3 linked regions of the Xenopus tropicalis genome follow. The protein of the gene in region 3 purifies or fractionates together with the protein of the main gene of each other region. This does not show direct contact. Links are inferred from orthologs where the notes say so. Each region holds a gene or a part of one and is shown on either strand. Other genes may lie near its edges.

Evidence for each region.
Region 1: the proteins of topbp1 (region 3) and sirt1 purify together in Homo sapiens (affinity purification with western blotting; 3 studies listed by BioGRID, with this or other methods). This does not show direct contact. The link is inferred for Xenopus tropicalis from reciprocal best matches to the Homo sapiens genes TOPBP1 and SIRT1.
Region 2: the proteins of topbp1 (region 3) and cdc45 purify together in Homo sapiens (affinity purification with western blotting; 3 studies listed by BioGRID and IntAct, with this or other methods). This does not show direct contact. The link is inferred for Xenopus tropicalis from reciprocal best matches to the Homo sapiens genes TOPBP1 and CDC45.

Annotation. Positions count from the first base shown.
Region 1 is NC_030683.2:38,251,050-38,254,518, reverse strand, and holds the end of sirt1 (NAD-dependent protein deacetylase sirtuin-1), read right to left. Parts: intron 3,144-3,469; coding exon 2,628-3,143; intron 962-2,627; coding exon 657-961; 3' UTR 527-656; downstream 1-526. UniProt on the Homo sapiens protein: NAD-dependent protein deacetylase that links transcriptional regulation directly to intracellular energetics and participates in the coordination of several separated cellular functions such as cell cycle, response to DNA damage, metabolism, apoptosis and autophagy.
Region 2 is NC_030677.2:154,245,207-154,248,868, forward strand, and holds the end of cdc45 (cell division control protein 45 homolog), read left to right. Parts: intron 1-254; coding exon 255-373; intron 374-792; coding exon 793-869; intron 870-1,815; coding exon 1,816-1,880; 3' UTR 1,881-1,881; intron 1,882-2,919; 3' UTR 2,920-3,121; downstream 3,122-3,662. UniProt on the Homo sapiens protein: Required for initiation of chromosomal DNA replication. Core component of CDC45-MCM-GINS (CMG) helicase, the molecular machine that unwinds template DNA during replication, and around which the replisome is built.
Region 3 is NC_030682.2:52,618,506-52,621,102, forward strand, and holds part of topbp1 (DNA topoisomerase 2-binding protein 1), read left to right. Parts: intron 1-579; coding exon 580-669; intron 670-2,314; coding exon 2,315-2,476; intron 2,477-2,597. UniProt on the Homo sapiens protein: Scaffold protein that acts as a key protein-protein adapter in DNA replication and DNA repair. Composed of multiple BRCT domains, which specifically recognize and bind phosphorylated proteins, bringing proteins together into functional combinations.

The sequences.
Region 1 (3,469 bases), on a different chromosome or scaffold from region 3:
TATACAGAATAGTATTTTCCTTTTTTTTTGTTTTTTGTACTGCTGTTATCCCAGTAAATATATCAGTCTATTAAAAAGGCAGAAATATAGGAAACTTGTAGTTATATTTTCATGAATAGTTTTTTTTCCCCAATAATAATTACACTAAGTGTAGAAAAAAACCTCAGAAATAACTAGTGTAATGAAAGCATAACAGGAGAGGATTAGAAAATGGAAATGAAAAAAAAAATTATTATGTATTTATATATATATATATATATATATATATATATATATATATATTCGAAAATGACAAAAAAACCTTGTCTTTGGCCTATGGTAGCTGCTCCTTTAAGACAAACCAGTTTTCTCTTGTTTGAGAATATTTCAATTAAAAAAATGTATTTATAAATTATATCACCAGTATATTTATGCTTCCCAAAACAATGAAAAGAATACAGGAAGTACAGGATGAATGTGTACAAAAATAATTACACCAGGTTCTAGTGTAAATATACATTTCCTTAAAAAAGAAACAAAAAAAATGCCAAGTGGGTTTTGTTTTTAATAACATACTTGCAATGCATGCTGTATTGAGCCCACAAACTGGCATGCATGTATGTCCAGTTTGGAAGTCCTAATGCTGGTGGTCGGTGGGATTGAAGGCATTGGGAATACTATAAGTTCATGGTAGTACCATCGATTCCTAGAAGATCATCACTTTGATACAGTACAACCCTCTCGGGTTCTCTTTCTAAGTCTGCCCTGTTATCTGTATCAGTCTCATTCTCATATTTAGCATGGAAGCATTCTTCAGTATCACTATCCTCTTCGATAGGCTCATGCAGGCTTGGGCTTAGTAAAGATTCGCTGTCGCTGTTTGTTCCACAGGAACTAGATGTCAGATCTTCATCTGAATCCGAAAACACTTCTGCGCCGTGAAAAATATAGCGATTTGGCGCTAAAAATAAAAACTGCGTGCCTGAAGACAAAGAATAGAAAAATACTGTTAACACATACATGTATTTTACATAACCATTTTAAATTATAAGCCGCCAGCAAACACTTTACAATTATATATAACAAACAGGGGTCCAACAAAAACAATCCAATTTGATATCCTGTGGATAATGTGCATCCTGGACACCTTTACCATGTGATGGGGTGGGCATGATGGTGCTTAAGCAGCAAGTGTGCTAAGATCTCCACATAATAGTATTTCATCGTAGTGCCATATAAGCTAGGGCACATAGAGTGCTGTCGGCCCGTTTTTTTTTTTCAGGCTGAGAAGCAGATCCACTCCCTTCTGCACCCCAGTGATCTGCACTTAAAAGTATAGATCCTGCTTGCATTCAGTGGAGGTCGACTTGAAAATGCCTGATTTCAAAGTTCCTGCACACAAGCAAAAGCTGTTCTTTTAAGATTAGACGAATAGAGCTGCAGAAGGAAGTGGGCCTGCTTCTCTCAGCCTGAAACGCTCTGTGTGCCCTCAGCTTTAAGCTGACCATAAATGCACCGATATAATTGTACAAAACATAGTTTCGGACGGTTTTCAGACTGTGTGTGGGCTCCAAATTATCATCCCGATAATTTTCGTACCATGGTGATTGGACGTTTAGTAAATTGGAAAGGTTGTATTGTGTATCTGCCGATATCCTTGGGGAACCTACACTTTCATACTGCCTGCCAACTATTTCATGGTTGGAACACCCTCCGCTGTGTTATTTTTTTGTATTTTATCCTACAATTTCAATCGGAATGTTAGTTTTAGATTGTTGCATTTAAACATGAGATCGATATCCGAATGTTTGTCGGAAGACTAAAATCTAAACATGTATGGCCAGCTTAAGGACCATGTGTGTTATATTAGCCTTATGTAGTACTACTTTGCAGAACTGTAAATGTTACTTTAGGGAATACAGATTCTTTGTACTTTTTGCAATGATTTTTCTGTTACTTAATGCAAAGGGAGACAGTAAGTTGCCAAAGCTCTTTTTGTGCCTGTGGTTCAAGTGTGGTTCAACACATGAAGCGGCAACATGTTCTACAGTGCTATACAAAGGGTTCTCTTTTCAGTACAAATTCAATGACAATGACCCTGGGTTCTACCCTGATATATATATAAATTAGGGCTACAACTTGAGTTCTCTTTTCCATGCATCCTGTTTAATGAAACTACTCTTATATTGATACATGTATAAACCTGCCTGATTCAAACCAATTTAATATGTGGTACTGATATTGAAACGGCAATGTTTGTATAGTTTTTTTTTTTCTTACTGGCGATTACTGTTGTACCTTAATAGGTGCCATAATACTTGGGAATTTAAAGCATGTATTATAAAAGCTGTGTAGTTGGGGAATTATCTCTCTGAACCAGTTGTAGATGCCATTTAGCGAGTCAAAAAAATTACACGGTTACCGGAATTAACTTTTAGTACAAAGTCAATATAGGTACCAGGTTGATTTTTTTTTTTTTTTTTTTAAGTCAGGAACAATTTTTTTTTACCCTGCTGATGCAAACTTGCATTCGTGTCACAGATTTTTTGGTTTTCCTTTTGCCCCACTAGCAGTTTCCTTTAGACAAAAAGGGTAAATTTGATGGACTTTTCAACCACTACGGCACTGCACACAAGTAATATACTTACTGTCTAGGCGCTTGCTGATCTGTTCTTTTGTATATTTACTTTCCAAATCCTTGGCTGAATCAATGTCAGTATCTTTCTCAGCTGTTTCTTGATCTTTCTCATTGCTGAGCTGTGTGTTAGCTTCCTTCGACACTTCTAGATTTTCCTCACTACAGTTGTGTGAAAGCTTGGAGGCTTCCTCGGGTTTTTCCAATGAGCGCATTGTATTAGAAGCACTTAGCTGTAAGTCTGTTCCACGCAGGTCGCTTTGTAGTGCTGGACTTTGCCCTGTGTTTAAGTCTGTAGATGGGACAGTCTCTGGTGAGGTAAGGAAACCTTTGTGTATTCGAGGGGGCTTTTCTGTGATTTGTGAAAGTTTTAAGGAATTGGTACAAAGCTGGGAGTATTTCCCATCTAGTCTTTGACATAACTCGTTTATAATTACATCACAATCTCCAAGCAGTTCTATATCGAAGTGTAAATGAGGCAATGGTTCCCTATTAATTAGTATCTGAGGCACTTCATGAGGAATAGAACCTGAAAGAAAATAGACAGAAGAATCAAATGTAATTCTGACAGGCATTTGTTGAGTAATTGAAATAACACAAATATTCTTTTCATATAGTCTTTGTAATGCTTAGGTTGCAAATGTGTGTATACACTGGCCAATAATTATTTAAAACAAAATGTATCTGTTTTTGGTGGGTCATTATAAATATAATATATATTAATATAAATAAATTATAAACAGTAAGTGTTATGGGGCATCCCAAGCTTTAAAAAGGTGTACTAACTCTGCTTGCATTTTTGCCTTGTTTGGATCATTGCTCCATTTTGATATCCTATGCTTTCTTGTCAGTGAC
Region 2 (3,662 bases), on a different chromosome or scaffold from region 3:
CTGAATTGACCTATGGGTCTAATTGAAAAATTGGGGAAGACGTTAAAGACATTTGTGGGTGTTTAATGTTTTTCTTTTCCTTTTTTTTTTTTGCTTTCATTAATTAACCGGTTTTAAATTAAGTCTACCCAAATTGTTGCCCAAAGAAAAGCCTAAGTGCCCCGTCACATCGGCCATTTTCCACCACCTAACATCAGTGTGTACTGTGCTTGACATGGCCCTAATACTACGTTTTTTTAAATTTTTTATTAAAGACCAAAAACAAACGCTGTAAGTTGCTTCCACTGGTGTTGGCAGCTCCTCTGGATGCGGAGAAGGGGACGGTGATCATGGTGGGGATTCCCCCTGAAGCAGAGAGCTCAGACAAGAAGAAGTAAGTCATTATTGTGGTTTCCTTTCTTTAAAATTGTAATTCTGAAAGAAAAAATTATTGAATAATGTGTGTGTGTGTGTGTGTGTGTGTACAGTATATACAATTAAAGAAAATGTGCCTGCACTTGTCTCCAAACGTTCTATATGTTTGGCACGAACCAGCATTCTCAAGTATAAAAACAATAAAATGTCTTTATTTCACATGTCACTTGTGTCCAATGTTTTGGGCCACATTTGGACCTTCCTTGATTTAATATTTGAGAGTGCTGGTCCGTGTGTGTGTGTGTACAGCACTCGACAGGTCTTGTGCTAACAAAAGTAATTTAGATTTTACTTCACAAACCCAAGAATTTTTCTTAAGTTGTTTTAGACTCTGCTTAGTATTAATTTTTTTTTTTTTCTTTTGCCGTCATGCTGCAGTTTTTTTGGACGAGCATTTGAGAAAGCAGCGGAGAGCACCAGTTCTCGGACGCTCCACAACCATTTTGACATGTCCAGTAAGTAACTGGTTGCTTTTTACAACTGCAACATTATGAGTTTTAAAAACTTAAACCAGTAACATTAAATAGAGCTCTCTGAAAGACTTTTTCATTGAAATACATTAACTGTTGGATGTAGATGCATGTGCAAACCCACCATCTGATCCGACTTGCATTACAGCTGTGGGGATCAGATTTTGTTGATCCTACAAAATCTTGTGCTGTTGCTTGGTCTTGCATGGGTCAAATATAACCAAATCTGACCAAAATCTCCTTTTGTAGTTTAGTCTTAATCCTTTAGATCGGCATGAATAGCATTGGATACGGTTTATTTCCCTGTGTAAGAACTAAACCCACTGTATTCTATGCAATTTATCTGTTCTCTGCTGTGTAAAACTGGAGCCTTTTTGCCCTGTTCAGCTTGAATGGCTACCTCCATGGCTGTACAACAGCTAATATTTTTTTAAACTATAGCAGTGTTTCTGAATCTCACACCTTTTAACAGTGCAGGATAACAGGACATCATAATGAATGCATATAAATCACTTAATTTGTTGGTGTTACCATTCCTTTAAGATTTCCTTGAAGCTTAAACTTAATTTTTTGGGTTCTTTCCTTTTGTACTAAGACCGTAGTTGTGCACAGTAGCTGGCTACCTCCGGCACAAAGGAGTTCTAATGAGGTCAGCCTACAGGAATTCTGACCTCTGTCCCTTTTGATATATTGGAGTGTTTGGAATGTTGCCAGCCAAGACTATTACTCTATAGGTACTTGGTAGGGAGGAAAAAAAGGTTGGCTTCCTGTATTGTGCCTAGGAGCATTCACTGACTCACGTTCACTAATCTCATAATAATGCCTGCATTACAGTAAACATCCTACCTGTGCCTTGCATATTGCCATACAAAGTGTGTGCTTGATATGCAATGTATGTCTAAACTTCTATTTATATTTTCTGTGTATTAAGTAATTGAGTTAAGGACAGAGGACCGCAGCAAGTTCCTGGATGCGCTTATCTCTCTGTTGTCATGAGGTATGTAAAAGGAAAGGTGTTGCTTTACTAGTCCATATATGCAGTATGCATTGAACATTTTGCATTGATAAAGTGATAATCTTTAGTCTTTAGTATCATGGGTCCAGTTAATAAAGAGTTTAGCAGTTTATCAAGTATCCCAAGAAAATTAGGCATTGTATTAATTAGGTGGTACTGGGACTGAAATTCGTGTGAGCTAGTGCTGTCAGTGTCTGGGGTTAATACAACCTTGCACTGTTCTGTGTACAAGTAAAAGCAATTAGTGAAGAGGAGTTTTTCCAAATTCATAGGTGAGGCAGGTCTGGATTGTTGGATAATGTTGCTTAAAGGGGCAGTATACCAGTTTTTCAGCATGAGTGCAATAAATGTGACTTGTGCTTAACATACTTTTTTACCTATAGTTTTAATCACAAAAAAATCTATGGCTTCTCATATTTATTGCGATGAACTTGGGATATTGAAGCTGCTCCATGTTTCTACCTTGCAAGGTAGACAAATATATTTCCAGGCAGATTTCCAAGCAGAAGTCCAATGTGAGGGGGATTATCTGTGCATTATTCATCATAAGCGCTATTCAATGCACTCATGTAGAACAAGTGGTATCCTGCCTTGTGTAATCTAATTCAGTCTGATTTCATATCTGCTCACACATAACATATGGCACTTGGGCTAAAGTTGTTTTCATTTTTGTTCTCACTTATTCATTATTATAGTTGAAGGAATACTGTCATGGGAAAACATGGTTGTTTCAAAACCCATCGGTTAACAGAGCTTCTGCAGCAGAATTCTGCATTGAAATACATTTTACAAACTTTTTTTTTTTAATTAATTTTGAAATGTCACATGGGGCTAGCCTTGGTCTTCATATACCAGGGTGCCACAGCCACATGATCTGTGCTTTGATAAACTTATAGGAATAAGGTAGTTTTCCCCTTTACTTCAGTGACTGACTCAATATAAAGCAATTGGCCATTTCTGGGGGGCTTATACTTTAAAGCTATATTGTTTGTATTAACTTTTTTTTTCCTGTCATTTCAGTAACCCATGGCTATTTTCACCTGCCTCTTCTCAAGATCTCTTACTGACTTTTGTAAATGTGCATTTTAGTCTCCCATTTTAAAGTGTCTTTTAAAAAAATATATATGTACTGACTAAATTATTTAGCTGAATGTATTAAGCCCAGTGTAATAACATGTTTGTATCTAAAACTGTAAATAAAAATTAAATTTCTATTGTAAAATTTGATGTCTATTAAGTATTTGGGTAATTACAGAATGAGTGAATGTTAGCAGTGTACATTTAAGGAGCAATACATTTTTGTTGCTCAGAGAAAGCATGTTGGCTGTTCCAGGAATTCCTTTTTAAAGACTATTGATGCCTTTATAAATCCGGTGTCTTGTGTAACCACAAACCATGTGGACCACTTTGGTTTTAAAGGTATAAGAATTCTTTCAGGCAACAAAATCGAACTGCCTTACTCCTGGTACTGGAGAGTGTTTCATCCTGACATTTCATGTGCAGTGGCTGAAACTGCCAAACAGGCACAGGTGACATGGCTTTGACTGTATATGACTAGCAGTGAAACACTTAAAGCAGAGTTAATGCAGTATTTATTTGGGGGGGGTAATTGGGGGAGCCATAGGTACTTGAACGTTTTCTGTTTTAACTAAGTTTGTGGTAACGAGGACATCCAGGAGGATATAGCAGACAGGAAAGTGGACACTTGAGACGTAAGAGATGAAAAAAGTTCAAGGCAAAGGAAGTACATTTGAATGTCATCA
Region 3 (2,597 bases):
TGTAGGAAAGGGGCTAGACAAGGTAAAGTGGGCAGAGATACGTAGATACTGGAACAGCATGTAACAGGCATAGAAGCAGGACAATGTCAGACATAGAACTAGACTTTAAAGAAGCAGTATACACCTATAATATAAACCTTTTTTTTACATAAGCAAAATAAATAGAATTTATGCTGAGAATTCATTCTGCCTATTGTTGAATTCTCATAGTTTATTTTTAGTACAAATTAGTAATTAGCAATAAGTATCTCCAAGTCCTATTTGTTAAATTAATGTTGATCAATGAAATATACTGTCCCTTTAAATAGAGAAACTCAGCCCTGATTGTCTAGCTCTAAACAGCAAATAAGGCTTCCTGGGATTTTTAACACACATTGGGGAAGACTGGTGATAAGCTGTAATTGACCAGGGACCTTTTGCTAACCTAACCTGGTGTTTTGGAAAGGCATCCTGCAGCCAGGTGGTCTGTCAAATCCCAGCATAGCAATAACCCAATTAACAGGTTTTGCCATCTTTATTACAGCTTTATTTACAAACTCAGAAAAGACTCACTATCCACTTCAAATGGTATCTTTTTAGGGTGCATTCAGCGGCTGGAAAGTCATTTTAAATGTTGACCAAACAAAGGAACCTGGTTTCAAACGTTTGCTTCAGTCAGGAGGTGCAAAGGTAGGCTGTGGTGTTGTTTCCTTTATTGAATTAAAGAACAAAATAGCAACTGATAATTTATTTGGTAGACATTGTTTAAAGCCCCTGCAGAACATAATTATTCATGGTAATATATACGGGCAAAAATGGTTAGTACAAAAAAATGTACAGTTCTTCAACTTTTATTTTACGTGCTCATTGCACTCCAAATGACTAATTGCTGGTGCCAGGAGCCCTGCAGCAGCTTCATTCCTTGTGTAATGGAAGCATTCTTTGGTGTGGAGCAGAACTTTGGCTGCTGCCCCAAGTGTCAGCATTAGTCTCAAAATGACATATATGCCATAGCCCCAAGGCATCTACCTGTAATTATTTTTCATTTGCAAAAGCTGGTAAGACCGGGAACAGATTAAAATGCACCTATGTTTGAGAGGAGATATATGTTTTAGTAAAAATGTACTAATATGGTGAAATGTAATGTGGATTACATTATGGCAAAACAGTGGCACGGGAGGATTTTACCTACTGCACTATTTATGCATCCAGTTTTCCGTATAATGGGTTTCCAAATAATAGATTACCATACCTGTAATGTTAAAGTAACAATTTTTGTTTTTAATCTGGTAGAACTTCCAAATTGTTATCAAACTGTATTCATGCTTGGAGGCATGCAGCAATGTGATCAGCTTGTGATCACTTGTTTCCTAGTTAATCTTTTAGTTAATCTTTTAGTGTCAGACATTAGTAGTGGTTACACATCTTTTTTAGCCGTGTCCCCCCAAAATCATACCTCATCTCCTCTCTGAACATATTTTTAGCTCTGTTCTCTTCATATGGCTTGCTCCTCCCTGGTTCATCCTCCCTCAGTTTTCAAACATTTTTCCCCACCCTGCACTGTTCTCCTTCAGCTGCCACACATATAGTCCCGTCCCTCCACCATCCTCCTTGCATCATCCACCAATACCTTTCACTATCATTCCATCTAATGTGTCCTGTCTTCCTAGGGCCATCCCTCTTCATCTATCTGAAAAGCAATTGGCTAAGGTGTAAGATGGGGATTGTGCTGTAGTCAACTGTCATAAGACATGGAGGAGGGCTAGTGCCAGCCAGAGAATTGGGTGGCTGAAGGAGGGTGGCGGGTGCAAGGATGGCAGTGCAGGACAAACTTAATAATACTGACAGCGAATGGGACATGGCAGATGGAGGTGAAACAAGAATTGTGTGTGACAGCTGAAAGAGGAGGCATGAGGGAGAAAACTTGAGAGCAGTTGATGGAACAGGGATGAGGCAGTACATGTCACAGATAAGAGTTGATGGTGCAGGGTGGACCAACCAGGCAGGAGCAAGTTATATAGGGTTGGTAAAACTGGAAATATATGCAGAGCAGAAATATGAGGGGACTTTGGGGAAGTCGGCATAAACGTGTAGGTACAGTAGAGTTTGACAGTGACAGTGGAAGGGCACACAAAAAGATTGTTATAAGGTACCCTAAAACAAACACAGACTCTTTACACCTTAAGCTAGAGATAATTAAGGACTGGGAAAAAGAAAATCAAGAGTCAGAGACCTTATGAAATGTGCCTGTGTGTGAGAAGCAGTCCATGTGTTCTTGCATCCTGATGTGATTAGGGATGTATCAAATATATCATTTTTGTATGTATATTTATAGGTATTTGCTGGCCATTCTTCTGCTCTGTTTAAAGAAGCCAACCACCTCTTTGCTGACTTCAGCAAACTGAAACCTGATGAGCCCAAGGTGAATGTGGCCGAGGCTGCAGCACAAGGAGTAAACTGCCTAAAGCCAGAGTATATTGCCGACTACCTCATGAAGGTTTGTTTAGTGTATAAATTGCAGTCGCAGCTGAATCACATTTTTACTAAACAATGAAAAACATTAGAACTGATATCGGTATTCTTGTGCAACATTCTGAGATTTCTTTTTAATTTATTTT